7 linked regions of the Macaca mulatta genome follow. The protein of the gene in region 4 binds, or shares a complex with, the protein of the main gene of each other region. Links are inferred from orthologs where the notes say so. Each region holds a gene or a part of one and is shown on either strand. Other genes may lie near its edges. The genes, in order: RBMX2, DDX46, GPKOW, SF3B2, HTATSF1, DHX16 and EFTUD2.

Region 1 (4,608 bases), on a different chromosome or scaffold from region 4:
GGAACAGACATAGAATGAATGAGGAGAAACTGTCATTGGTGGGCAGGCTCTGTTCTCCTTTTTGGCAGGACATTGGTTACATGGTGGGCCACTTGAGGGTACAGTTGGTATCGTCATCAAAATGTTTTTATGAAGGACCTAATATCTGGTGCTCTGAGATAGGCCACACAGCTCTGGACTTTTACTTTTAGAACATCATGGTCCAAGAGCAGGTACTGATGTGGACATGTGCAAAATGGATTCAAACTGTCAATATGGGTTAAATCACATATTATATGTTAATCATCTCTTCCACTGGTTTCTAGATATTTCTGGTTGAAATCTATCAGGCAAATATATCTTGTCCCCTTAATTATAATATTAGCTCCTTGAGGGCAGAGGACCCACCCTGATACTCCTGTCTACAGACCTTAGCTGCACAGGACAAATCTAGATGTTCAGTAAGGACTGATTGAATCAACCTGACCTACTGGGTGCAGGTACTCTAGTACCTTTCTAGTTAATTTATTCATTTGAGCCTCATTTCTTCCTCTACAAAACGAGGGTGGAAATTTCTTTTACTTTCTCTTTCTTTTTTTTTTAAAACAAGGAGTCTCGCTCTGCTGCCCAGGGTGGAGTGCAGTGGTGCGATCTCAGCTCACTGCAACCTTTGCCTCCCAGGTTCAAGTGATTCTCCTGCCCCAGCCTCCCGAGTAGCTGGGATTACAGGCGTGTGCCACCATGCCTAGCTAATTTTTGTATTTTTAGAGGAGACAGAGTTTCACCATGTTGGCTGGGTAGGTCTTGAACTCCTGACCTCAGGTGATCCACCTGCCTTAGCCTCCCAAAGTGTTGGGATGACAGGTGTGAGCCACCACACCTGGCCCCCCCCTTTTTCCTTTATTTTAGAGACAGGTTCTGCTATGTTGCCCAGGCTGGTCTCAAACTCCTGAGTTCAAGCAATCCTCCTACCTCAGCTTCCCAAAGTGCTGGGATTACAGGCATGAGCTGCTGCGCCCGGCCAGGAATTGTAATTTTATCTGCTTCATTGGGTTGTTGTGAGGGTGGAGAGACAATACATGTAAATTGCTTAGCACATACTCTAGTATCATACAGTACATCATCTGCTCACTTGCTAGCTATTAATTTAACAATATTAATTTCTGTCTCCTGCTCAACTAGGAGAGAGCCTATGGAAAAGAGTAAGTGCAGCGGCTCTCATGCAAATCTGTAGGTATTCAATTCAGCCTATAGAGGCACACTGGTCTGTTGCCTATGTATTGGGATAAGAACAACAGAAGATTTACCTTTTCACCTATCTTCTTCACTTTTCTGCCATGACAGGGATGCTTTGATGGGTCTGTGCGTGAGCAACTGACTAGGAGCGAAGGTCCAAGTGGGACTCTGGACTGGGAGCGAGGGCTGAGACTAAAGTCGCCACATCAGGCTGCTTATTCCGTTCATTCAGCAAATATTTATAGCTAATCTAACCAGTTTCCGATATCGTTCAAGAGCTGGGGGTCCTGCAACAGCCCAGGCTCGTGCCTTTACCCCATTTCACAGAGGAGAAAAAGCGAAAAATTAGAGAAAAACCGTTTCTACAAGAGGTAACTGCAAAGAACGCGGAAGGCTTCTAGTGCGCAGGCGCCACGCCCCGGTACGCCCCAGCTCTTCCGGCGCGAGGTCACCGACTCGACGAGCCACCGGCGCCGGGGCCGCGCATGCGTGGCGCTGCCTTTCCCGGGCGCTGATTCCTGAATGCTGAGCGCGAGCCCGCGGAGATGAAGTAAGGCGTCAGCTTCCTTTTGAGGAACGAGCAGCGGGCCGCTGAGGGTGGTCTACCGGGGCTGGGGTGGTAGAGCGTCTGCGGGGTCGAGGGGCGGGAGAGGCGCGGGGACTAGCACAGCTCGTCCCCTTGTTTTGCTCTTCTTCAGCTTCGGCCGGTTAGCATTTACTTGTCTGCTTTTCTGCCTCCCCTCCCCCCCGCCACCGTGAAGTCCTTTAACTAAGGTGAAGCTGATCAACGAGCTGAATGAACGAGAGGTCCAGCTTGGGGTGGCCGATAAAGTGTCCTGGCACTCCGAGTACAAGGACAGCGCCTGGATCTTCCTGGGTGAGGTGCACATCTTTCTTCCGCAGTGCTCCCAAGATTCTCCTGCTCGGTGTCCGACTATTTCAGCATTTTCACCCTTCACTCCTGCTTACATTCATTGCCCTCCTTTATATCCATCTGCTGTCTGCCCGGGAATCCGTGTTCCATCTTTTTTTTTTTTTTTTTTTTTTCTGCCCCATTTTTAGTTTTCCTTCCCAGCCAAATCAGTGCTCATGAGAGTTACTGTTTGCCATTTGCTGTGCTAAGGTTCAGGGACTGTTGTTATTTCTCTCTCACCCCCTGACCCGTTATTACAGCTGAGGAAATTGGGGTGCAGAGAAGTTAAGGGACTTCCTTAAGGTCACATAGCTAATAACCGCAACAGGCAGAACTATAGCTTTCTAGAACTCATGGTCTTAGCCACAGCCCCATATTGCTACCACCGCCCTCCCCCATTCCCCTTCCCTTGCAGAATTCACTTTGCTCCTCTAGCTCCTGCTTTCTGACCATGGCCACACTACCATTACTGTATTCACTTTATATCACAACCAGTAATTGTACAAGTTTGATGCTTCAAAGAGGTTATTGTAAAAACGTTGTGCTAAGCACTTTATATGCATCGTTTTATTTAACTCTTATAACAGTCTTGCGAGTTACCTGCTAATATCCCCATCTTACAGATGAGGAAAGAAACATTTGGAAGGGAAATTATTCCCTAGGAAATGCTTAACAGTGTCTTTATAACCTTTGTCTATGTGTAGGTGGGGTTAATCATGACATATGTAGACTAATTTTGTATCATAGCTGTAAATTTGTGGGTAATGAGCAGATGAATTCAACATGTTTGTGGAAGCAGAGGTTTGTGATGGAAACTATCTGCTTTGCCCATAGGATTTTGGGTGCCAGGAGGACTGAGTGATCAGTTTACTTTTGTTAGTGGTGACACTGACTTCCACTCAAAATTAGTCACTCCTTTTCCTGTTCTACTGGCACCTTACATGTACTTCTGTCATTGCATCAGACTTGATTTCTTTCTTTCTTTTTTTTTTTTTTTTTTTGAGTTGGAGTTTCACTCTTGTTGTCCAGGCTGGAGTGCAGTGACGTGATCTCGGCTCACTACAACCTCTGCCTCCTGGGTTCAAGCGAGTCTCCTGCTTAAGCCTCCTGAGTAGCTGGGATTACAGGTGCCCGCCACCTCGCCCGGCTAATTTTTTTTGTAGTTTTAGTAGAGACGGGGTTTCGCCATGTTGACCAGGCTGGTCTCGAACTCCTGACCTCAGGTGATCCACCCGCCTTGGCCTCCCAAAGTGCTGGGATTACAGGCGTGAGCCATGGTGCCCAGCCCAGACTTGATTTCTTTAAGGGCAGGGCCTGTTGCTTACTGTTTGCACCCCTAGTGCCTGGCCTAGTGCATGGTACGTAGTAAACACTTGGTAAATGTTGGTGGAACTGAAATGTGGTTTTCTTTTCTAGGAGGGCTTCCTTATGAACTGACTGAAGGGGACATCATCTGTGTGTTCTCACAGTAAGTCCCCTTTCATTTCCTGCCTCCTGAGTCGACAGAGTACTTTTTTCTGTAATGCATTTTGTGGCATCACAAAAACCACTTATTTTCACTCTAGGCTGAATGGCGTCCCTGCATGGGGAGGGCTGGAGCTTCTGCTCTAGTCTAGATCAGTCCCAGGACATGGTTCTAGAATGTTCTCCTGTGGGAGATCCAAGAGGTTTGTTAATTTGGGAGGCCATCTTGGGGATTCTAGTCTATTTCTGTTGTTTTTCACTGAGGTTTGTTCAGCCTGGGCCTAGACTGGAACAGACTGGAACCCTCAGGAAGGTTCCATATTGGTACGCCTCCTTGGGCTCTTGCAAACTAGGGGTAACCCATGGTCACAGGGCCCTTCTGGTCCTTGCCTGTGTGGCATCATACGACTGGGGCAAACCACAGAGGAATTGGGATGAAAAACAGAAAGAAGGTTGTAGTTTGCTTTCTTTGATTCTCAATGAATGTAAGGTTAGTGAGCAAAGCCAATCTCTACCTGGAGGCTGAGAATCACAGCCTGACGAGGAACAAGAATGAATAGGAGATCTGTATATTCTTCATTCTGCTGAGGTGTTGGCAGCAGCATTTGGTGGGAGAGGGTGTTGGTGGCTCATACTGGTAGTAGCAGCTAGTAGGAGAGGGGCTGGGCAGCTGGCCTGCAACCCCAGAGGTAAACAGCACAGTTAGTCCACAGGGCCAGAGGATCTTGGCACAGGTGCAAAGGACCACTACATTTGGGTTTTGTAGGCCTTCAGAGCATAGTACTGTTTCAGAGAAGTTGGACAGCATGTACAGGTAGCAGACCATGGCAAAAGGGGCTGGCCAAGCAAACACAGGTAGCATACACTGGCAGAGGGATTGCTATGGCAGGATGGTAGGGCCATCCATGGACAGAGGGCCCTGGCTGAGTGGTTGGGCCACTTATGGGGCAGCAAGCCATGGGAAAGGAATTGGGCAATACCCGTGAGAAGAAGGCTGTGATAGAGAACCTGGGCAA
Region 2 (3,862 bases), on a different chromosome or scaffold from region 4:
TACTTGGGGGACTGAGGCAGGAGAATCGCTTGAAGCTTGAACCCAGGAGGCGGAAGTTGCAGTGAGCCGGGATTGCGCCACTGCACTCCAGCCTGGTGACAAAGCGAGACTTGTCTAAAAAAAATATATATATATGTGTATATATATATATAAGTTGCATAATTTTTTTTTTTTTTTTTAAGACAGAGTCTCTCTCTGTCACCACGCTGGAGTGCAGTGCCACAATCCCAGCTCACCGCAACCTCTGACTCCCGGGTTCAAGCGATTCTCCTGCCTGAGCCTCCAAAGTAGCTAGGACTACAGGTTAGCTGGGACTATAGGCATGCGCCACCACACCCAGCTAATTTTTGTATTTTTAGTAGAGACGGAGTTTCACCATGTCGGCCAGGATGGTCTCGATCTCTTAACCTCGTGATCTGCCTGTCTTGGCCTCCCAAAGTGTTGGGATTACAGGTGTGAGACCCTGTCCCAGCCAAGTTGCATAATTTAACCAGCACTTTGGGAGGCCAAGGTGGGGGGATCACTTGAAGTCAGGAGTTTGAGACCAACTTCACCAACACGGCGAAACCCTGTCTCTATTAAAAATACAAAAATACAAAAATTGGCTGGGTGTGGTGGCGGGTACCTGTAATCCCAGCTACTTAAGAGGCTACGGCACAAGAATCGCTTGAACCCGGGATGCAGAGGTTGCAGTGAGCCGAGATCATGCCAATGCATGCCTGAGGGAAGAGGTGGGAGGCTCTGTCTCAAAAAAGAAAAAAATAAATAAAAAATTTAAAAAGCCAGGGATGGTGGCTCACGCCTGTAATCCCAGCACTTTGGGAGGCTGAGGCGGGCAGATCACCTGAGGTCAGGATTTCAAGGCCAGCCTGGCCAACATGGGGAAACCTGGTCTCTACTAAAAATATTTTAAAAATTAACCAGCCGTAGTGGCGCACACCTATAGTTCAGCTACTCAAGAGGCTGAGGCAGGATAACTGCTTGAGCCCGGGTGGCTGAGGTCACAGTGAGCACAGTGAGATCGCACCACTGTACTCTACCCTGGGCAACAGAGCAAGATTCTGTCTCAAACAACAAAAAAAAGCAGTTGTATAATTTAAAGGGTAAATTTTGATATGTAAATTATCTCAATAAAACAATTTTTTTAAACGTAAGTTGTTTTTAGAGTAAAAATGTAACTCAGGGAGACATTGGTGTGAAAGGACTATTTTGAGCAGCAAGACACAGAAAACATAAACAACCACCAACCACTTACTTTTTGAGGGAATTTAAGATCTTCATGGAAATTCCACACTGGACCCAGGATTTAATTGGTTTGGGACAACCTTTTCCTTTAACTGTAATGCCCTCCATTTCCAATCGAAACACATTTACCTCTACAAAACAAAACCCAGATTAAAAGTTCTTAAATATTGTTCTATTGGTGTCTTCTACTTTTCAATTAGGCATAAGATGAAGAATCTTTAACTCTTATGCCAGGCCCAGTGGCTCACACCTGTAATCCTAGCAACTAGCACTTTGGGAGGCAGACTCAGGCAGATCCCTTGAACCCAGGAGTTGTAAGACCAACCTGGGCAACATGGTGAAACCCTGCCTCGACAAAAAGTACAAAAATTAGCTGGGTGTGGTGGCACATGCCTGTAGTCCCAGTTACTCAGGAGGCTGACATAGGAAGATCACCTGAGCCTATCAGGGGGATGTGGGGTGTGGTAGGAAATCAAGGCTGTAGTGAGCCATGACTGCACCACTGCACTCCAGCCTCCAGCCTGGGCAATGGAGGGAGAGACCCTGTCTCAAAACAAAACAAACAATTTTTAAAATTTTTGTATTTTTTTTAGTAGAGACAGGGTTTCACCATATTGGCCAGGATGGTCTCGAACTACTGACCTCATGATCTGCCTGCCTAGGCCTCACAAAGTGCTGGGATTACAGGCGTGAGCCACTGCATCCGGCCTACTTTTCCGTATTTTAGTAGATGGGGTTTCACTCTATTGCCCAGGCTGGTCTCGAACTTCTGAGCTCAAACAATGCGCCCACCTCAGCCTCCCAAAGTGCTGGGATTACAGGTGTGAGCCAACGCACCTGGCCAATTAATTTTTGATCATTTTAAAAATATTTCGAAAACACCCTCCTTCATCAGACACTATCCACATTTCTCTTGAGTAATGTGAAATGTATCCTCTTCTGTTAGTAAATGAAAAAATGGAATTTTACCTTCTTGAGACATTTTTGCTAGTTCTGGAACTTCGACATAGAAGTTTTTCCTAAATGGCTCATATTCAATTTTTCCATGATCAACTGGTTCTAGAAGCTTTCGCTGTTTTGTTTGATACCCTGTAAGGGCTGTCTGAAGATCAACTTCTTCCTCCTCTGAAGAATACTATAGTTTAAAAGAAAAAAATTAAAGAGGTAAGCTCATTACTATTTTCCTCTTGTGGGAAGCAATACTCCTAGCTTTTCAAATCTTCCTCTCCTAGAAACTACTCTAATTTTTTTACTTTCTGCAATACACTGTTTGACCCACAAGATTTTTATAGTGCTCCAGCACACTTAAACCTCTTAATTTTAAAATCACCTCAAATGATGTATGTCATCTTGAATTAGAAATACATCAAGAAGCTCCTGAAGAATTTTTCGACTTACTTTTCTTTTTCTTTGCCCTTTAGAGAGTTAAAATGCCAATATAAAGCTAAAACAGTAATGATCAGAGACGGCTCTAATAAGGTTTTGCTACTGTTTTTACTATATAAATCTTTACAATACGTGTTAATGGAAAGAAAGTTAATTCATTCTGTTACTTCATTTTTTTCTCTCCATATTGTATGCCTGAAGTGAGCTGATGAGGGGCAGAAAGATCATACAGTTAGGAATGAAAGACATCAGAATGTTCCACTAAATAGATATTTAACTAGATACTATACTACTACTAAGAATAGCAAGAATGTCTCCCAATTCTGGGAATTTCTCCTAGTTCACATAAATGAAAAGCACATCTCCATGAATGCTTTCTAATAAATGCTTCCAGGATAGTATCATAAACAAAGTCAAAATTAATGAAAAATCACCTCCATGGCATCCTGGTCATTCTCCATCAGCTCACCTTTCTTCTTATCAGAATCCACAACTGCTTTTTTGGTTGTCACAACAGTGACAACTTTTGTGACCGTTGGCCCAGACTTCTAAAATAAAGAAGAAATATAGAATATTTTGCAAAGCTGAAACGCAAGTTATATGACAGCCGAAGCCCACAATAACTGACAAAATTTCGTCTTTAGTTTCTTTTTTTAGTGACATGGTCTCCATCACCCAGGCTTGAGTGGTGTGATCGTAGCTCACTGTAACCTCAAATTTCTGGGTTCAAGGAGTCATCCCATCTGTCCTCCTGAGTTGCTAGGACTATAAGCACATATCACCAAACCCAGTTAATTTTTTTTGCTTTTTGGCAGAAAGAGTCATGCTATGTTGCCCAGGCTGGTCTTGAACTGCTTGGCTCCAGTGATCTACCAGCCTCAGCCTACCAAATGTTCTGGGATTGCAGTTGTGAGCCAGGACATTGAGCCAACTGAGTTATTAAATGAAAATAGAAACAACAGACTGTTTTTCTCATTAATTTGTATAAATTTTTAAGCATAATATAATTATATTTTATAATACATCCACTTATCATTTACTGTATTATAGATAATTCTATATAATATTATATATACTTTATTTATTGAGATAAAGTTTTGCTCTTGTCACCCAGGCTGGAGTGCAATGGCATGATTTCAGCTCACTGTAACCTCTGCCTCCCAGATTCAGGCAATTCTCCTGCCTCAGCCTCCCCAGTAGCTGGGATTACAGGCGCCCGCCACTATACTCA
Region 3 (3,862 bases), on a different chromosome or scaffold from region 4:
GCCAGCAAGTGGTCCCGGGTTACTGAGTGAGGCAGTGGGCCAAGCAGACCTAAAAGACTAGGACTCCCAGCCTTTCTACCTCAAACCCAATTATTCCTCCATCTGACCCTCGGATCAACCTTCCCTACTGCCTGTTTTGGGCTCCCGGGATATCTTGGTTCCTTACCTTCCCATAGAGGCCTCGGTGAGGGCCAGAAAGAACCACCACAGCTCCTCCTGGCACCAGCCCTTGAGGCTGATCTTCCTTATCCTTCTCTTGCTCCTCATCTGGCCTTGGCATGTGGGAGGGGCCGGTGGGGGTCAAGGCCTGGGCCTCAGACAGGTTGGCACCCAGCCCTAACCCCTTGGGCCTCAGTGAGTTGACACGGGGCTTCACTACTCTGCAGGGAGAACATGGGTTTGTTGGAGAGGATGCAATAGTCTTCAACACCTTATTTACCTCCTCTCCCTGCCCAAACCCCCACCCCCACCATTGACATTTTCTTTTCTTTTCTTTTTTTTTTTTGGAGACGGAGTTTTGCTCTTGCCATCCAGGGTGGAGTACAATGGCTCAATCTCGGCTCAATGCAACCTCCGCCTCCTGGGTTCAAGCGACTCTCCTGCCTCAGCCTCCCAAGTTGCTGGGGTTTACAGGAGCATGCCACCATGCCTGGCTAATTTTGTATTTTTAGTAGAGACAGGGTTTCACCATGTTGGTCAGGCTGGTCTCGAACTCCTGACCTCAGCTGATCCGCCCTCTTTGGCCTCCCATAGTGCTAGGATTACAGGTGTGAGTCACCATGTCTGGCCCCCATCGGTATTTTCAAGGTTGCCCTTTCCGATCTCATATTAGGACTGTTTTTGACCTACAGAAACAGCAATTTCATTTGGTTCGACCTAATAACATGCTGCATATACCATCTATTACATAATATCTACAGTGAGATCAGAGGCAGATCACTGTAACCAAATATACTATTTCTACAGGGGAAATCATATGAATATTCACACCAAGCAGGAGAAACGGACTATAAAAACTCAACATGGTTGGGCACGGTGGCTCATGCCTGTAATCCCAGCACTTTGGGAGACTGAGGTTGGCAGATCACCTAAGGTCAGGAGTTCAAGACCAGCCTGGCCAACATGGGGAAACCTCATCTCTTCTAAACATACAAAAATTAACCAGGCGTGCTGGTGCATTCCTGTAATCTCAGCTACTCAGGAGGCTGAGGCAGGAGAATCACTTGAACTCAGGAGGTAGAGGTTGCAGCGAGCTGAGACTGCACCACTGCATCCCAGCCTGGGTGACAGACAGAGACTCCATCTCAAAAAAAAAAAAAAAAAAAAACTCAACGCCAATTCAGGTCATAGTTGGCTGCCAATGGGTTATGAAAAAAATGTTTGGTTTTCACAATTCTTGAGTTTGCAATTGCGAAGAAAGGGTTGTAAGTCTGCATGACAATAGCAAATGTTTAGTCTACGCTTTCTTGGGGTCAGGGCCTACTGTATGTGCTTTACGTATATAGTTTATCTTTTTTGTTTTTTTTTTTTTGAGATGGCGTGTCACTCTGTCGCCCAGGCTGGAGTGCAGTGGTGCGATTTCGGTTCACTACAAGCTCCACCTCCTGGGTTCACGCCATTCTCCTGCCTCAGCCTCCTGAGTAGCTGGGACTACAGGCGCCCGCCACCATGCCCGGCTAATTTTTTGTATTTTTTTTTTAGTAGAGATGGGCTTTCACCGTGTTAGCCAGGATGGTCTTGATCTCCAGACCTTGTGATCCACCCGCCTCAGCCTCCCAAAGTGCTGGGATTACAGGCACAAGGCACTGCGCCTGGCTCTAATTTCTTTCTTTTTTTTTTTGAGACGGAGTCTCGCTCTGTAGCCCAGGCTGGAGAGCAGTGGCCGGATCTCAGCTCACTGCAAGCTCCGCCTCCCGGGTTTACGCCATTCTCCTGCCTCAGCCTCCGGAGTAGCTGGGACTACAGGCGCCCGCCACCTTGCCCGGCTAGTTTTTTGTATTTTTTAGTAGAGACGGGGTTTCACCCTGTTAGCCAGGATGGTCTCAATCTCCTGACCTCGTGATCCGCCCTTGTCGGCCTCCCAAAGTGCTGGGATTACAGGCTTGATCCACCGCGCCCGGCCTAATTTCTTTTCTTAAAATGAATTAATCTTTTGTAGAGATGGGGCCTCCCTATGTTGCCCAGGCCAGTCTCAAACTCCTGGGGTTAAGTGATCCTCCTGCCTCAGTCTCCCAAAATGCTGGGATTACAGGCATGAGCCACTACCTGGCCTATGTGTATAATTTCATTTAACTCTCACAACAGACCTGTGAAGTCAGTACTATTACCCCCATTTTTCAGATGAAGAAATTGATGTCCCTAGAGGCAGACTTTATATAAATGGGATCCTATTAGAGTTTCAAAGGGCAAATGGGAGTTTAAAACAGTAGTGGAAGGGGCTACTGAATTAGTTAGGGCGATAATGTATCCTCCCTCCCTGCCTGGAGTGGTTCTGGTTTGGCAGTGACCCTGGGGATCTTGATTGCAGCCTGATCTGTCTGTCCCCTCGCCCCTATCCCAGAACTCACTGATTGAAGGTGCGGCCGATGCCCTCGCCAGGTTTCCAGCCCATGCCCCGCAGCATGGCCAGCCCATAGGCCTCCACGGGGACCGCCTCATAATTAGCCTCCTCTGGCACCTACAGGTTCAGGTAGAGGAAGGAGGGTCAGGCTTTGCTTACACTGGGTCCTCTGTTTGAAGTGCACTTGCTGCCACCCACTGGGAGACCTGCTACGCATCTTTTCCAATCAGCTCAAGGGTGTTTTGATTTCCTCTTTCCATCCCTCACTGTACTCCTCCATGTTCAGTCCTTCAACAAATAGAAAGCACCTAGTCTATGGCAAGTACTGTTCTAGGTACTGGGGATGAAGCTGTGAACCAAACAGACAAAAACCCCTACCCTTGCAGAGCTTCTGATCTAGTTGTGGAGACATACTATAAATAAAACCCAGAAAACATGATATGTCAGGTGGTGACGTATAGAACAAGAAAGCAGGGTAAGAAGATGCAGAGGGATGGAGAGGGAGTGCCTCTGGGTTGACATTTAAGCAGAGATCAGGAAATGATAGCAGAGGGAGCCATGAGGATATGAGAAGAAAGTGTCCCGAGCTGAAAGCACAGTTACAGCAAAGGCCCTGAGGCTGGACAAGGCTTGGTATGTGTGAGGGGTAAAAGTCACCATGACTGAAATGGAGATAGTGAGAGTAGAGAGCAGAGAAGGGTGGGGAAGAGATCAAATCAGGAGAGCTGGGCAGGAGTCAGAGGACCCTGAGCCAGGTGGGAGCCATAAGAGGGACCAGTGAGGAAATTACTCTAATAGTCCAGATGAGAGATGCTCGTGGCGGTGAGAAGTGGTCAGTTCTGGGTGTCATTTTGAAAAAAGATGAAGGATTGTGCTGGCAGAGTGTATGGGGCATGAAATAAAGAGGGGAATTGAGGATGACTCCAAGGTTTTCTTTTTTTTTTTTTTTTTTCTTGAGATGAAGTCTTGCTCTGTTGCCCAGGCTGGAGTGCAGTTGCACAATCTCAGCTCACTGCTACATCAGTCTCCTGGTTTCAAGCGATTCTCCTGCCTCAGCCTCCTGAGTAGCTGTGATTACAGACATGTTCCACCATGCCCAGCTAATTTTTGTAATTTTACTAGCGATGGGGTTTCGCCATGTTGGTTAGGCTGGTCTTGAACTCCTGATCTCAGGTGATCCGCCCACCTCAGCCTCCCAAAGTGTTGGGATTACAGGCTTGGCCGACTCCAAGGTTTTTATGCTGAGTGAGAGGAAGGATGGATGGAATTTTTGGTCACCTGATATGTATAAAGCTGCAGGAG
Region 4 (4,417 bases):
GCGGGGGCCCCAAATTTGGTGGGTGGGCCATAGGAAAGCCAAGGCCAAGGCCTGGTGGAGGTGGTGGGGGAGGTGGAGGAGGCTGCAAAGGGGGGAGTCCCAAAGGTGGTGGTGGCATGGGAATTCCAGGGAGCTGTGGAGAAAATATGATCATAAAATTAGGAAACATTTATCTACTCATCTGCACATATCTGGGGGATCTACTTTGAGTCAGGAGCTGGGATTCTAAGTCAAATGACACATAGTTCCTAATTCGTAAGAGAGAATGCTCCATAGCCCTATAAAGATATGAGAATGTTAACTTCCGGCACCAACCACAATAAGCTATCCACTCTCTCCAGAAAGATATCCTGAATACAGACTCTGCATACAATTCCAGGAGACTCAAAGACACCTCTGAGGCCATCTAGGGACTCCTCATTCTACACACAGAAATCAATAGATCCTAGGTCAGAGCCACTGCTTTAGAGAAAAAGAAGCAAATCCTGGATCAGAAGCAACATGGAAATTGAGAGGACTTAAATAAACAGGAACCACTGTACCAGGGCAATGCAAACCCCAATGACTGCTAAATGCAAGGAGTATGAAATCAAATCAGGGAGCTCTCAATGTCTCACAAAAGAACATGGGAACTGTTCCTGGGGCAGGCAAAGAAGAGGGTGATTGCTTCCAGCTGGGTAGGGACAAGTCGGGCTTCCTTGTATTCAAGCTGTTTTGTTTTTTGTTTTTTGTTTTTTTTTGAGATAGAGTCTGTCACCCAGGCTGGAACGCAATGGTGCAATCTCAGCTCACTGCAACCTTTGCTTTCCAGGTTCAAGCAATTCTCGTGCTTCAGCCTCCCAAGTAGCTGGGATTACAGGCGCCTGCCACGATGCCCGGCTAATTTTTGTATTTTTAGGAAAGACGAGGTTTCACTATGTTGGCCAGACTGGTCTCAAACTCATGACCTCAAGTGATTGCCCGCCTCGGCCTCCCAAAGTGCTGGGATTACAGGCGTGAGCCACCACGCCCTGCCTCTCTCTTTTTTTTTTTTTTTTTTGAGACAGTCTTGCTCTATCGCCCAGGCTGGAGTGCAGTGGCCTGATCTCGGCTCACTGGCTCACTGCAACCTCCGCCTCCTGGGTTCAAGAGATTCTCCTGCCTCAGCCTCCCAAGTAGCTGGGATTACAGACATGTGCCACCACGCCCAGCTAATTTTTGTATTTTTAGTAGAGACAGTTTCACCATGTTGGCCAGGCTGGTTTCAAACTCCTGATCACAGGCGATCCACCCGCCTTGGCCTCCCAAAGTGCTGAGATTACAGACATGAGCCACCATCCCCTGCCTCTTTTTTTTCCCCCTATTTTTTTATTTTATTTTATTTTATTGTAAGTTCTGGGGCACACGTGCAGGATGTGCAGGTTTGTTACATTGGTAAATGTGTGCCATGGTGGTTTGCTGCACCTATCAACCCACTGCCTAGGTATTAATTCTGGCGTGCATTTGCTATTTTTCCTGACAATCTCCCAGCCCCTGCCCCATCACCCCCCAACCTTTTTTTTTTTTTTTTTTCAGAGAAGTAAAGTCTCATTCTGTCACCCAGGATGGAGTACATGGAGTACAGTGGCGCAACCAGAGCTCATTGCAGCCTTGAACCTCAGGGCTCAAGCAATCCTTGAGCCTCAGCTTAGACAGTAGCTTGGACTTTATAGGCATGTGCTGCCGTGCCCAGCTAATTTTTAAAAATTTTTTGTAGTAACAAGAGTCTCACTGTGTTGCCCAGGCTGGTCTCGAACCCTGGCTTCAAGTGATCCTCCCATCTAAGCATCCCAAAGTGGTGGGATTACGGGCATGTGCCACTGCACCTGGCCACAAGCTGAATCTTGAATGACAGGTAGAATTTGGAGAAGCAGACAGTGGAAAAGGAGGCAAGTATCAGCATCAAAGAGAGAACTGAAGAGCTCACAATTCTGTCATGGCAGTACCTCCTTGCCCAGTCAGTCAGTTGCATCTCAAGTACACTGCAATTGAGAGGAAGGGCTACCCTGAACAGATGGAATCTTTCTATTCCCCACTCAGGTCAGGCGAGATGTGCAAGGGTGTGACGTCTCACACATGCACGCGAACACCGAATCATCATGCTCATGAACTACAAAAGGATCAGCAGATAGAATCTTAAAAAATGGAAGAACCTCCCTACCTGCGCTGACATGGGAGGTGGAGCGGCTTTGTCCCCATCTTCCCCTCTCAAAACCGGCCGATTCAGCACGATGCCAGTCTGCAAAAGAGAAAGGACTCTAGGTCAGTCCAAAACTAGCTGTTTCACTAATCGACGATCTCTCCCAATTCATTTAACAAAACGTATCCAGTGCCTGTCTGCCAGCGCTCCGGCTGGGCACTGAAGAGGACCAAGATGGATACAAGAAATTACAACTAAGCTGGCAAAGGCAAGAACAAGCCAAAAAGGGCAAGCCTCCGCCTTGCTGTGCCAAGATAAAGAAAGAATGAAGACCGAGCCGTGATGGGGTATATAAGGTCTCCTGGAGAAGCTCGGCCTATCCTGACGTCCCGCCGCCAACACCTACCTGGCGGGTGTAGGTCTGCAGCCGCTCCACCAGCTCCTCGCGATTACCTGCGGGGCAAAGTACACGATCAATGGAGCAGGCAAGCCCGGCCAGGTCAGACCCCAGCTGCCCGCCTCCGCCCCTCGCGCCCGGGTCTCCCGGGTAACCAGGCTCCGCTTCTCCGCAGGCCCGTAAAGGTCCCTCGACTTTCTGTGTTCCTCACCCTGGATCGGAGCTCCGATCTCTGCCAACTTGGCCTGAAGCTCCTGGGCAGCCCAGGCGCCATAGTGGCCTGGAGGTGGCGGCGGCGGCAGCTGCAATTCCGCTTTGGGAGGCTCGGGATGCTCGGACGCCATCTTGGCCGCAGCAAGGCGCGCGACCAACCCGGAAGCTCGGGCCGGCCTCTGGGCCCACTTTCCGGAACTTCCGGCGGCGCCGTACGCCACGTCCTCTCTGGTTGGGAGGCGACGCGCACGGAGGCCCACCCGCTGCGGTACGCTAGGCGACGGGATTCGCCGCAGACGCCCCTTTCTCCAGTGGCCCCTCGGCCGTCTGGTCGCTAGGCCTCCTGGGAGTTGTAGTGCGCAGGTCTCGGTCTCTGCGGGCCCTGCGCCAGGCTACGGCCCAGAAGGCCGGCGGCGGGCCGGAGGGCGGGGCTGCGGGGAAGGCTGGCCCTGCCCGGAGGGAGTGTTTTCTGCGCCTCACCTGCGGGAGCGCAGGCTGTCAAGCCTTCCGGCCCGGCTCCCCGGTCAGAGCCTCGGACTCTTACGCTCCCAGGGAGTCCCGAGAGACTCATTTCCCCGGCGGCTCCGCGTTGCGGGCGCCAAGCGGGAGGCTGGAGCCAATGCCCGGGATAAAACAGTGTCTGATTGTCTGCCCGCCCACCCCCGGCCCAGGCCCGGATGAATGGGCTGAAAGGGGATCCGAGCCAGGAGAGGAGCGGGCCCGCCCGGGCTGAGCTCCAGCTGCCGACCTGGGGGAAGGGCGACACTAAAGCCCCCTTTTCCACCTTCCAAGCCGGCTCAAATGTCGTCTTCACTAAGCTTTCTCCCGCTTTCCTTTCCTTTCTTAGAGTTCCCATAATACATTCGAATCTCCACCGTTTGATAAGTCTTTCTTGCCCTTTCTTCCTACCTGCATCCCAAAAATGTGAGCAGGGACTTGATCTTTTTCAGTCTCGCATCACCTGCCGTTCAAGAGGCGCCCAATAAATGATTACTGGGAAAAAGGAACAATGTTTCTGGTGACAGTATTTGTGTCTTTTAGTCTCAAAAATAAACTCAGGCCCCTTTTCCCTCAGCCGCACCTGCACTGGGGGCCCACCTTGCCGCCCACTCCCCACCCCAACTCCCCGTGGTCTTTGGGGACAGAGGCAGATACTGGCAGGGATTCTTGCCTGCCTAGCATCCACCTCTCGCTGTCCCACACCATCAATTCAATTTCTCTCCCCACCTCTGCCACTAGCTCTGCCCTGTCACTAACAGCCAGGCTCACTGTGTGTGTTTTTATGTGTATTGAGTACGGGAATGGGGAGACTTCAGTGAAATGGTCTCATTTTCCCCCAAACATCCCCTTCAGATCTTTTCTCCAGCTCCATTTTGCCAACTGCCCCCCGTGGAGAAGAAGCTGGGAACAGGGGAAAAAAGAATGGGGCACCAGGTCTGGGGAAGGTGAGGTTTGGGAGAGACAGGGAAAAGGATTGGGTTGAGAAAGGTTGGCTCACATCCTAGCACTGGGTGGGAAGTCCTCTTCCTCCTACCCAAACCTTGACCTTTCCCCTTTGCATCAATATCACTATGGCAGGCTCCTGCTGCCACTCCCAGAGGGGAAGCCAAACCTGGAAAGGACAGTAAGGAAGACAGAACAATGGTGCC
Region 5 (3,332 bases), on a different chromosome or scaffold from region 4:
AAAGGAAATACTATTTTGGTTTGCAATTTTTCTATACTTAACTTTCTTCACCCCATTTACTGACTTATCCCTGGTGAAAATCCTGAAGATTTTACGAAATCCCAGACATCAACTAAAAAATTCTCAAAATAAAAACAGACTTGAAGTATAGGAACTCTTCTCTATCTAGAGGGTTACACTTACAGATACTGTAATGAAAGAGCACCAATGCAGTTTATTTTAATGCTTCTAATTTCTGAGAACAGCTTCTTAATGCTACATCAAAAGTAAATTCATCAATACTGAATTTGGAAAGCATAATCAAGAAAGACCCACAATTTTATTGGGACTACACAACTTTGCACAGTGCTAGGCACTAAGATTCTAAAAAAACGAACAACTGAAGCATGCATGAAGTTCTTCAACTTCAGGGCATCCATGAACCTCCCCATTTTTTTCTGGGAAGAGGTCCTCTAACTTGAATTAACTTCTAAAGGGGCCCAAGGAGGCTAACAGTACAAGGCAGAATTCTAATCTGGTTCTCTAGATTTTTAATAATAATGGGAGCTGTAGACCACAGGAAATTCACTTTTGCACATCTGAGAGTCAATTTTAATGGAAAGAGGGTAGAAAACAAACAAGAGTTAATTTGCAAGGGCTGGGCAGAAAAAGCAAATCCAGAGGGTTGTTTTCTGAGTTTAGGAACATGTTCTGGTTTATAGAGAGGAAATGGAGACATATGTGCTACTACCAGCGGGAAGCAAGGAGACTACAAAGGGATTCTTCAAGTCCTCAGAAAAGCCAACCGTCAGTATAAATAAAGCGGTATCAAGAATTTACAATGCAATTTACCTCAAGTCCAATTTTCAGTTTCTGCGTATTATCAACTTTTTATTGATGAATATCACAAACTTCAATCAATGCTTTTAAAAATATTATTCTGCATGCATTTAACAAATCTGACAAAAGAACAAGTATCCAGTTTACTTGCATTGTAACTATGACATTTTAACTAAACAATCAATTAACATATATTTAAAACCATTAGGTACAGGTAACAATGAAAAACTTCAATGCTTTAATCTGATGGCATCCTACCACTATGCACATGTTCATGTAACACTACTAGTAATTACCCTGAAGCACAGGCAAATGTAGATGGAGGACTCTCCCTAAAAAGCAAGTTTAAGGGATTAAATATCATCATCATCATCGCTACTGAGAATAAAGCTGCTGCCAGTGGATAGGGGCCCTTCTTCAACACTCCCAAAACCACCCAAAGTCCCCCTCTCATCAGAATCATCAAACAACTTCTCATTGGAATCTTCCTCCTCATCAAACAACTTCTCATTGGAATCATCATCTTCGAACAACTTTTCGTCAGCATCTTCAACTTCCTTTCCGTCTGCATCTTCATCTTCCTTTTCATCTGACTCTTCAAACAGCTTTTCATCTGCATCACCTTCTTCCTCCTTTTTACCAGCAGCTTCAAGCCCCTTTTCATCTGCATATTCTTCATCCTCTTTCTCATCGGACTCATCATCAAATACTTTTTCATATGTATCATCCTCTTCTTCCTTTTCATCTGAATCTTCGTCAAACTCTCTCTCAGAGCCTTCCTCATCTAACACTTTTTCAGAGCCGTCATCTTCAAATTCAGAGTTTTCGGAGTCATTTTCCTCTAACTCGTTGTCAAGAACATTTTCATGAAGCTCTTTTTCAGAGCCTTCCTCGTCCAAATCTTTCTCGAGACCATTTTCTTCAAATTCTCTTTCGGAGCCATCTTCAGACTGTTTTTCAGAGCAGTCTTCGTCAGACTCTTTCTCTGAGTCATCTTCTTCGGACTCTTTTGTGGGGCCAGCCTCCTCTTCAGATTCCTTGTTGGGGTCATCTTCAGATTCCTTTGCGAGGCCATTCTCTTCACAATCATTTTTGAGTGCCTTCTTTTTAGACTCTTTTTTAGGACTACCCTCTTCAGATCCTCTTACGGGATTGCCTTCTTCAGACTCTTTTTGGGGGCAGCCACCTTCGAACCCTCTTTTGGGGCAGCCCTCTTCAGATTCTTTTGCAGGGACGCCTTCTTCGGCTTCTTTTTCGGGGCTACTTTCTTTAGCATTGTTTTCAAAAGCACCTTCTTCAAATTCTCCCCCATCTTCTGTCTTTTCAAACTTCTTCTCATCTATAGGTTCTTCAAACGCCATTCCAGTTGCAGTTTCTTGAGCATTCATTTTAGATGTGCTGGGGTGCTCTGAAAAATGCCTTGCTCTAGAAGGCCCTGCCCTTTCGGAAGCAGAGACAGAATCTGAACGCCTAAGGCCTCTGTTGGCCTCCGGAGCATTGAGGAAAGCCTCCCATCCTCTCAGCCTTTCCTCCCTTTCTCTTGAGGTTTCCTCCACCTGTGGATAAATGGAGACTGCCATTAAAATAAGTTTTAGGCAAAAGGTTACTTTTCTGAACATATCTAATATTGATGAAACAACCTTAATTTTATAAAGCATCTCTTCTTAGGAAAGCAATACCCTGTCTTCAGTTTTCAAAACTTTACATCTTGATTTACTAGAGTTGACCTTAAATAAGATCACTTGAATAAAGGCCAAATATCACAGTACTGCAGAAATGTCTCATCTCTTAAAAAGTTAATATTTGAGCTCTGTCCATACTTCACAGCATACAAAGGAAGAGTAACATTTGGTTGAATGTGTTCTTTTCTTATCACTATTCTGAACAAGCCTCAAACTTTCAGACTTATAAACTGAAAAACTCAAATAGTTCTTTATCTTCTGAATGCAAAATATTATTTAAAAGAAGCACTGTAAATAATAAAGAGGAAGAGTAAAAAATTAAAACATATAAATAAATAAAAAGAAAAGAAGCATTGTTACATTAAATAGGTTAAACCAAACCCAAAATTTAGATCTGAAGGATCAGTATTTGTTGGTAATGAAACAACGTGTGTGTCCCTGACAAGCTGCAGAATTTACCTGATAATCTGTAGTCCCATCCCATGCCTGGGCAGTGATTTGACGGCCACCAAACCATCTTCCATCCAGAGTTTGAATACAATAATCAGCTTCCTCTGGATCCCGAAAGGACACAGAGGCCACACCATCTGGGTGCCTCTAGAAAGACAAGAAAGAAAAAAAAGGAATGAACGGTAAGATTAAAAATAAAACACATACATTTCACAAAGTAGGTAAGTAGTAGTGTTCTCTCTGATACTCTGAAGTAAAAGACTTTATGTATGAAGTCTTTCTTCCCTTTTATCCCAGCCAGTCACATGCAGTCAGCTGCTTCTTTACCTTAATCTTACCTAGCAAGAACCAAGCACAATGTCCTTGGAAATGTTTCTGCTG
Region 6 (3,961 bases), on a different chromosome or scaffold from region 4:
GAGCTCACTACGGTGAGTTGGGGGGCAGCATGGCTTGGGGCAGGATGATAGGGGTCAGGATGGCTCCAGGGGCCCCTGTAGTAGTAGTGGGAAACCTGAGGGAGGACTGAGCTCAACTCTCTCTCTCCTCTCCCTAGTCTGGTCGAAAGATGGCAGAGCTGCCGGTGGACCCCATGCTGTCCAAAATGATCTTAGCCTCTGAGAAGTAAGCCCTCCCCTCCACCTGGTCTCCCAGCACACATACTGGCCAGGCCTCCTCTTGTCTCTGGGGTCCTCTTTGTCGTTTTCTCTTCATCATATTATCCTTTAACACATAAGAAAGTATTAGATAACTCTGATTGCCCTCTTTTGAGGGTAAGACACTTGATCCTATCCTTGATTCCACTGTGCCTGGCCCCTTGAGGAACTTACTCGTTCCTAAGGTTTGAAACTAAAACATTTAATGTAGCTGTGGAGGGACGACCTTTAAATGCCATTCCTCTGCTGTCAGAGATCTTTTCCAAATGCACATAGTGAATGCACACTTTCTGCAGAAGCCTCAGAAGTCCCCAGTGTTTCCTGCTCCTGCCTCCATGGATGTCCCTCCTTTGTGACTGTGTTTCATCTATGGCCCCTACCTCCTTGACCCCCAGGCTGCTGCCAGAATCTATCTGCTGGCTGCTTTGTAGCCATTAGGCCAACCAGCCTTTTCCACATGAGGGAACATCCATCACACAGTGATCACTCCCCACTCCACCATATCTGTTCCTATGTGTCTTGCTTTGAACTCATGCTTTCCCCTTCCTGTCCCAGGTACAGCTGTTCAGAGGAGATCCTGACAGTGGCTGCCATGCTCTCTGTCAACAACTCCATCTTCTACCGACCAAAGGACAAGGTCGTCCATGCTGACAACGCCCGTGTCAACTTCTTTCTCCCTGGTGGTGACCACCTGGTTCTGCTAAATGTTTACACACAGGTCACTGGGCTTGGGTGAGTGGGAATGAGAGACACCGGGGGACTTTAGTCCTACTGTATACTTAACTGTCTCTCCTTTCTTTTTAATCCTTTTCCCAGTGGGCCGAGAGTGGTTACTCTTCCCAGTGGTGCTATGAGAACTTTGTACAGTTCAGATCAATGCGCCGAGCCCGGGATGTGCGGGAACAGCTGGAAGGGCTCTTGGAACGTGTGGAAGTTGGTCTCAGTTCCTGCCAGGGGGACTATATCCGTGTACGCAAGGTCAGCATTTCTTCAGCCTCCTGCTCTCCACCCCCAGTACCTTCCCAGGAGCAAGCTTCTCTAGGGGCATGCAGCAGTTCCTCCAGCCTGAGAGCATGCCCTCTTCCCCTTATGTATGACGGTGTCCTCCCAGGGCCCTTTCTTCCCCAGACCACTGGAGGTTCATTCCTGGGAAGTTCTTCATGCATTCCTTACCTCTCTAGTTTTCCTGAAGCTGGAATTAAAAAGGTAGTGAGCTCTTAGGGTCCCCAGATGTCTGCCTTTTCCATTGATTTTCTTTCCTGCCTGCTCCTTAGGCCATCACTGCTGGTTACTTTTACCACACGGCACGGTTGACTCGGAGCGGCTACCGCACAGTAAAACAGCAGCAGACGGTCTTCATTCATCCCAACTCCTCCCTCTTTGAGCAACAGCCACGCTGGCTGCTCTACCACGAACTTGTCTTGACTACCAAAGAGTTCATGAGACAGGTGAGGACAACATCCTGTGCCCACACAGGTGGAGACTATGTAGAGAGATGGTATCCTGACAAGCTAAGAACCCAGGTTCAAGTTGCTGGGACTGGTACAGAAAGAGGAAGGTAGGGTAAAATAGAAAGACATCCTTTGTTTTGTTTTTGTTTTTGAGACTGAGTCTCGCTCTATTGCCCAGGCTGGAGTGCAGTGGCGCAATCTAGCCTCACTGCAACCTCTGCCTCCCGGGTTCAAGATATTCTCATGCCTCAGCCTTCCAAGTAGCTGAGATTACAGGTGCAAGCCTCAATGCCTGGCTAATTTTTGGTATTTTTAGTAGAGATGAGGTTTCACCATGTTGGCCAGGCTGGTCTTAAATGTGTGCCTCGGCCTTCCAAAGTGCAGGGATTACAGTTGTAAGCCACTGTGCCCAGCCCAAAGACATCCTTTCTAACAGGTGTCAGCATCTTCCAAGATCTGAGAACTAGACATTTATTCAATACATATTTGAATGGCTACTGTATAGGTGCTGGGGCTATAATGAACAAAGCAGAGTGTCTCGTCTCACAGAGTACTTTGTCTATGTTCTAGGCTTTTCTTTTTTTTTTTTTTGAGACAAGAGTTTCGCACTCTAGTAGCCTACGCTGGAGTGCAGTGGCACAGTCTCAGCTCATGCAATCTCTGCCTTCCAGTTTCAAGCAATTCCCCTGCCTCAGCCTCCAGCTGGGATTACAGGTGCCCACCACCACGCCCAGCTAATTTTTGTATTTCTAGTAGACAGGGTTTCACCATGTTGGCCAGGTTGATCTCGAACTCCTGACCTCATGATCCGCCCGCCTCAGTCTCCCAAAGTGTTGGGATTACAGGCGTGAGTCACCACGCCCGGCATGTTCTAGACTTTTCTTAGGAATAGCTTATTTGGTATCTTGAATAACACATAGAGGTGTATCTGCCCTTTGGATATATAATAATAGAGCCAGGCACCTTTACCCCTAGCCCTGCAGTCAAAGAGGAAAGATAACTTTTGACCACACACATGAGGATCTAGGTTGGGGCTGGGCATAGTGGCTCATTCTTGTAAACCATCCTAGCACTTTGGGAGGCCAAGGCAGGATCCCAGCACTTTGGGAGGCCAAGATCAGCCCAGGCAACATACTGAGACCCCATCTATACAAAAAATTAATGGGGCACTGTGATGTGTGCCTGTAGTCTCAGCTACTTGGGAGGCTGAGGCAGAAGGACTGCTTTGAGCCTGGGAGGTCGAGGCTGCAGTGAGCCATGATACGCCACTGCAGTCCAGCCTGGGCAACAGAGCAAGACCCTGTTTCAATTTAAGAAAAAAATAATAATACACAAAAGATCTATGTTGGAAAGAAGGGAACTCCATTGATCTTTTCTCTCTCCTCCTAGGTACTGGAGATTGAGAGCAGTTGGCTTCTGGAGGTGGCTCCCCATTATTATAAGGCCAAGGAGCTAGAAGATCCCCATGCTAAGAAAATGCCCAAAAAAATAGGCAAAACACGAGAAGAGCTAGGGTAAGAGAAGGACGTAAACAGAACCTGTGACACCAGCTCCTCTTCCTTCTATACATTATTTAATACCTATTAAATAAAATTATTTTTGGAATAAAGCTTGTGGGAATATTTGGGATCTAGAGAAAGTGATACATGAAATTCTATCTCATATAGTCAGTTAAACTTTATTATTTACAAGTTAAATTACAGAGCAGCTTTACACAGCATGAGATGGAAAGGCAGGCAGGAGAGAAAGGGAGGAAGCTGGCTCCTGAGATTCTTGGCTGCCTCCACCTCCTTCTCTTGGGCTTAGCAGTCTTCAGTGCTGCCCCCACTCAAAGCAGGGCTTGGAACACAGGTTTAAGTCAGGTTCTGGCTCTGACAGCCCCAGGGCCACCAGGGCTCCCACTAGCAGCTTCTTCACAGGTGTTGGAGGTGAGTGTGAAGGCATCAACTGCAAGGAGAAAGGTTAATGCCAGTTGCGGGAGGCACACAGATGTTCTACCCTTCACCCCACCCAGCCCTACCTAGGACTCACTTTATCTAGACGATGGCGACAAATGAGGCCACTGGAATTCAGGTAGAAAGTGGAGTAGGCATCATAGGTCCTGGGGAATACAGGGAGGCTTACTGAGGGAGAAGGTGACTGGTCCCAAAGCTGAATTCAAGCATTTGTTTAAACGAGTAGTCTCTAAATTCTGCTACATATTAGATCACCTGGGCAACTTACAAACATCTCAGTGCTTAGGTTGTCCCGTCTCAATTAAATCAGTGTTTGGC
Region 7 (3,862 bases), on a different chromosome or scaffold from region 4:
AGGATGAGGGCTGGGAACTGACCTTGGGATTTAGCAAGGCAGAGGTCACTAGTGACCTTGACAAGAGCAGTCTGTGGAATGGGAGAGGCAAAAGGATGGAAGTGGGTTTGAAGGAAAATGGGAGGAGAGGATCTGGAGACAGCAACTATGAACAACTCATTTGAGATGTGCTGCACTGCAAAGCAGGGAAAATCTGGAGGTAAATGAAGAGGGATATGGGGTCAAGAGAGAGTTTTAGGATGAAATGACATTTTTTCTGTGTATGCTGATGGGGATGAACTGGTAGACAGGGAAAACTGATGGCACAGGAGAGAGAGGGCAGAACTGCCAAAGGTCTTGAGAGGTGAGAAGGGATGGGATTAGTTTCTAGTAGACAGAAGCATGAACAAATAATTCATAAGAATGGAAAGGAAGGCATCGTATATGAGTACAGGTGTAGGCAGGTGGGTAGAGGGACTGCTGGGTGCTTGCTTTCCTTCACACAAATTACAGCATGCCAACCTCTTCCTTAAGAACACAAAACCCTCCAGTGGTAAGACTGGCTACCTCCTACCATCTTACACTCTACTTCTACTAAACTGGCCTAAGATTACATTAGCTCTTTTGGCAGCCACATATACCTTACTGGTGGTGGCTCCAAAATAGCTATCAAGCCAGTTTTCTACTGCCCCATACTGCTGAATATATTATGAATCTAACTGCAGGATTTTATATAATCATTTCTGACTGCCTGTAATTACCTCTACCGAGTCTACAGTAGCTCAACAAGTCTAAAATAAAACTAAACCAGTATTCTTTTATCATTGTTTTTTAAAATTTTTAATTTTTTTTATTTTTTTGAGATGGAGTTTCACTGCAATCTCTACCTCCTGGGTTCAAGAGATTCTCCTGCCTTAGGCTCCGGAGTAGCTGGGGCTACAGGTGCATGCCACCATGCCCAGCTAATTTTTGTGTGTTTTTTTTTTTTTTTTTTTTTTTGAGACGGAGTCTCGCTCTGTCTCCCAGGCTGGACTGCAGTGGCCGGATCTCAGCTCACTGCAAGCTCCGCCTCCTGGGTTCACGCCATTCTCCTGCCTCAGCCTCCCGAGTAGCTGGGACTACAGGCGCCCGCCACCTCGCTCGGCTGGTTTTTTGTATTTTTTAGTAGAGACGGGGTTTCACCGTGTTAGCCAGGATGGTCTCGATCTCTTGACCTCGTGATCCACCCGTCTCGGCCTCCCAAAGTGCTGGGATTACAGGCTTGAGCCACCGCACCCGGCCAATTTTTGTATTTTTAATAGAGATGGGGTTTCATCATGTTGGCCAGACTGGTCTCAAACTCTTGACCTCAGGTCATCCGCCCACCTCAGCCTCCCAAAGTGCTGGGATTACAGACATGAGCCAATGCGCCCAGTCTTAGAATGGACATCTTTCTTTCCTGTCTCCATTACCAAAATCTATGCATCTCTGTTATATACCTCAATATAATTAAAAAAAAATAAATCTGTCCAGGCGCGGTGGCTCACACCTGTAATCCCAACACTTTGGGAGGCCAAGGCATGTGGATTGCTTGAAGTCAGGAGTTCAAGACCAGCCTGGACAACATAGTGAAACCCCGTCTCTACTAAAAATACAAAAAACATTAGCCAGGCATGGTGGCACACACCTGTAATCCCAGCTACTTAGGAGGCGGAGGCATGAGAATCGCTTGGATCTGGGAGGCAGAGGCTGCAGTGAGCCAAGATGGTGCCACTGTGCTCCTGCCTGGGCAACAGGGTGAGGCTGTCTCAAAAAAAAAAAAAAAAGAGAGAGAGAAAAGAAAAGAGGGGGCTGGGCATGGTGGCTCACGCCTGTAATCCCAGCACTTTGGGAGGCCAAGGCGGGTGGATTCTTGAGCTCAGGAGTTCGAGACCAGCCTGGGCAACATTTTGTCTCTATGAAAAATAAAAAAAATTAGCTGGGCATGGTGATGCATGCCTGTAGTCCCAGTTATTTGGGAGGCCAAGATGGGAGAATCACTTAAGCCCAGGAGGTGGAGGTTGCAGTGAGCTGAGATTGCGCCACTGCACTCAAGCCTGGCAACAGAGTGAGACCTTGTCTTAAATAAAAATAAGTAAGAGCGAGATGAAAAGAGCAATATATTTGCTTTACCTCATCAAGATCTTTGGTCTCTCTACCCAATTCATCGTCATCTTCATCAGAATCAAGCTCTGGTCCAATATAATTCCCAAACTCATCATATAAGTCGGTGTCCATGATGCTAAAATTCAAGGAAAGGAGTTAGATTCTGGCAAAGTAATCATGGCCTCCATGTGGTGGCCCCACCTACCTAGTCTTATAGTTGGCCATACCCCTTTCAGAACATGCCTCCTCCCAGTGACATCAATCTACTGAAGGCTCCTCCCAAAGACCAGTACTTTACCCAAGTCTCTGCCCTACATGTCTCTATTTATGTAGTCTTCCCTCCACTTTTTTTTTGTTTGTTTGTTTCAAGCAGAGTTTAATAGGCAAGAAGGAAAGAAGACAGAAGGAAGAAGCTCCCCACTACAGAGATGGGGCGGGGTGCTCCAAAGCCAAAAGAGGAGGTCCCCTTCCTCCACTTCTTTAATACCAAATTTAATTTTAAAATAACTCAATGTCAAAAAGTGGCAAGAATAGTACAAACAACTTACTTTTTCCTAAATTATCTGAAAGTGAGCTGTTGACACAGTGGCTCATCACCTCCTAATACTTTAGTGTAAGGGTGTGCAAACTCTGGCCTGTGGCCAAATCTGGCCTCTCCAGCTGTTTCTGCATGGCCCTCTAGCTAAGAATGCTTTTCAACATTTTTAAATTGTCAAAAGAAAAATATTTCACAATACATGAAAATTAATTATAAGGAATTCAAATGTCTGTGTCTACTTAAAAAATTTCATTGGGAGGCCTGGCGCAGTGGCTCACACCTGTAATCCCAGCACTTTGGGAGGCCAAGGCGGGCAGATCACCTGAGGTCAGGAGTTCGAGACCAGCCTGGTCAACATGGCAAAACCCTGTCTCTACTAAAAATACAAAAATTAGCTAGGTATGGTGGCATATGCCTGTAATCCCAGCTACTCAGGAGGCTGATGTAGGAGAATCCCTTGAACCCAGGGGGTGGACGTTGCAGTGAGCTGAGGTGGCACCACTGCACTCCAGCCTGGGAGACAAAACGAGACTCCATCTCAAAAAAAAAAAAAAAAAAAAAAAAAAAAAAAAAAGGTTCACTGGAAAACAGCCATGCATATTCATTTACATCATCTACAGTTACCTTTACACTGTAATAGCAGAGTTGAGTAGTTGGGACTGAAACCATATGGCTCACAAAGCCTAAAATACTATCCAGTCCTTAACAGAAAAAGTTTGCCAACCTCTCCCTCACCTTGTGTGATTCCTACAAACAGGAACATTCTTCTACATAACCACAACACAACCATCAAAATCAGAAAATTAATATTCACACATTACTACCACCTAATTTACAGATCCCATTCAAGTTTCACAGATTGTTCCAATACGTTTCACAGATTGTTCCAATAATATCTTACACGCCCAAGGATCCAATCCAGGATCATGTTTGCATTTGGTTGTCATGTCTTTAGTCTCTTTGGATTTACAATCTTCAGTCTTTCCTTCCAAGGACTGTCGTGACATCCTTAAGGATGTCCCTTGATTTGAGGTTGTCTGATGTTACCTTATGATAATATTCAGGTTATGTGTTTTAGGCAGGAATATCATAGAAGTGATGCTGTGAGAACATGTGAGAACTGTGGTTCTCAAAGCATTTCCTATCAGGTGATACATGATTTCAATTTGCCTCATTGGTGGTAACGTTAACTTTGATCACTTCATTAAGGTGATGTTTGCC

The links.
Region 1: SF3B2 (region 4) and RBMX2 share a complex: the UniProt entries of both Homo sapiens proteins name them as parts of the minor spliceosome. The link is inferred for Macaca mulatta from reciprocal best matches to the Homo sapiens genes SF3B2 and RBMX2.
Region 2: SF3B2 (region 4) and DDX46 share a complex: the UniProt entries of both Homo sapiens proteins name them as parts of the 17S U2 SnRNP complex. The link is inferred for Macaca mulatta from reciprocal best matches to the Homo sapiens genes SF3B2 and DDX46.
Region 3: SF3B2 (region 4) and GPKOW share a complex: the UniProt entries of both Homo sapiens proteins name them as parts of the minor spliceosome. The link is inferred for Macaca mulatta from reciprocal best matches to the Homo sapiens genes SF3B2 and GPKOW.
Region 5: SF3B2 (region 4) and HTATSF1 share a complex: the UniProt entries of both Homo sapiens proteins name them as parts of the 17S U2 SnRNP complex. The link is inferred for Macaca mulatta from reciprocal best matches to the Homo sapiens genes SF3B2 and HTATSF1.
Region 6: SF3B2 (region 4) and DHX16 share a complex: the UniProt entries of both Homo sapiens proteins name them as parts of the minor spliceosome. The link is inferred for Macaca mulatta from reciprocal best matches to the Homo sapiens genes SF3B2 and DHX16.
Region 7: SF3B2 (region 4) and EFTUD2 share a complex: the UniProt entries of both Homo sapiens proteins name them as parts of the minor spliceosome. The link is inferred for Macaca mulatta from reciprocal best matches to the Homo sapiens genes SF3B2 and EFTUD2.

What each region holds. Positions count from the first base shown.
Region 1 is NC_133426.1:136,863,119-136,867,726, forward strand, and holds the start of RBMX2 (RNA-binding motif protein, X-linked 2), read left to right. Parts: upstream 1-1,745; 5' UTR 1,746-1,760; coding exon 1,761-1,765; intron 1,766-1,976; coding exon 1,977-2,092; intron 2,093-3,544; coding exon 3,545-3,596; intron 3,597-4,608. UniProt on the Homo sapiens protein: Involved in pre-mRNA splicing as component of the activated spliceosome. As a component of the minor spliceosome, involved in the splicing of U12-type introns in pre-mRNAs.
Region 2 is NC_133411.1:143,701,984-143,705,845, reverse strand, and holds part of DDX46 (probable ATP-dependent RNA helicase DDX46), read right to left. Parts: intron 3,180-3,862; coding exon 3,066-3,179; intron 2,381-3,065; coding exon 2,215-2,380; intron 1,377-2,214; coding exon 1,256-1,376; intron 1-1,255. UniProt on the Homo sapiens protein: Component of the 17S U2 SnRNP complex of the spliceosome, a large ribonucleoprotein complex that removes introns from transcribed pre-mRNAs.
Region 3 is NC_133426.1:49,201,107-49,204,968, forward strand, and holds part of GPKOW (G-patch domain and KOW motifs-containing protein), read right to left. Parts: intron 2,678-3,862; coding exon 2,568-2,677; intron 381-2,567; coding exon 167-380; intron 1-166. UniProt on the Homo sapiens protein: RNA-binding protein involved in pre-mRNA splicing. As a component of the minor spliceosome, involved in the splicing of U12-type introns in pre-mRNAs.
Region 4 is NC_133419.1:8,360,740-8,365,156, forward strand, and holds the start of SF3B2 (splicing factor 3B subunit 2), read right to left. Parts: upstream 2,925-4,417; 5' UTR 2,900-2,924; coding exon 2,767-2,899; intron 2,612-2,766; coding exon 2,565-2,611; intron 2,258-2,564; coding exon 2,180-2,257; exon of another isoform or gene 2,058-2,179; intron 1,444-2,057; exon of another isoform or gene 1,315-1,443; intron 751-1,314; exon of another isoform or gene 695-750; intron 182-694; exon of another isoform or gene 170-181; coding exon of another isoform or gene 134-169; coding exon 1-133. UniProt on the Homo sapiens protein: Component of the 17S U2 SnRNP complex of the spliceosome, a large ribonucleoprotein complex that removes introns from transcribed pre-mRNAs.
Region 5 is NC_133426.1:142,836,381-142,839,712, reverse strand, and holds the end of HTATSF1 (17S U2 SnRNP complex component HTATSF1), read right to left. Parts: intron 3,099-3,332; coding exon 2,961-3,098; intron 2,376-2,960; coding exon 1,173-2,375; 3' UTR 843-1,172; downstream 1-842. UniProt on the Homo sapiens protein: Component of the 17S U2 SnRNP complex of the spliceosome, a large ribonucleoprotein complex that removes introns from transcribed pre-mRNAs.
Region 6 is NC_133409.1:152,391,528-152,395,488, forward strand, and holds the end of DHX16 (pre-mRNA-splicing factor ATP-dependent RNA helicase DHX16), read left to right. Parts: coding exon 1-12; intron 13-137; coding exon 138-205; intron 206-792; coding exon 793-955; intron 956-1,053; coding exon 1,054-1,215; exon of another isoform or gene 1,216-1,251; intron 1,252-1,467; exon of another isoform or gene 1,468-1,511; coding exon 1,512-1,685; intron 1,686-3,077; coding exon 3,078-3,206; downstream 3,207-3,961. UniProt on the Homo sapiens protein: Required for pre-mRNA splicing as a component of the spliceosome. Contributes to pre-mRNA splicing after spliceosome formation and prior to the first transesterification reaction.
Region 7 is NC_133421.1:69,266,363-69,270,224, forward strand, and holds part of EFTUD2 (116 kDa U5 small nuclear ribonucleoprotein component), read right to left. Parts: intron 2,936-3,862; 5' UTR 2,236-2,935; coding exon 2,131-2,235; intron 1-2,130. UniProt on the Homo sapiens protein: Required for pre-mRNA splicing as component of the spliceosome, including pre-catalytic, catalytic and post-catalytic spliceosomal complexes. Component of the U5 snRNP and the U4/U6-U5 tri-snRNP complex, a building block of the spliceosome.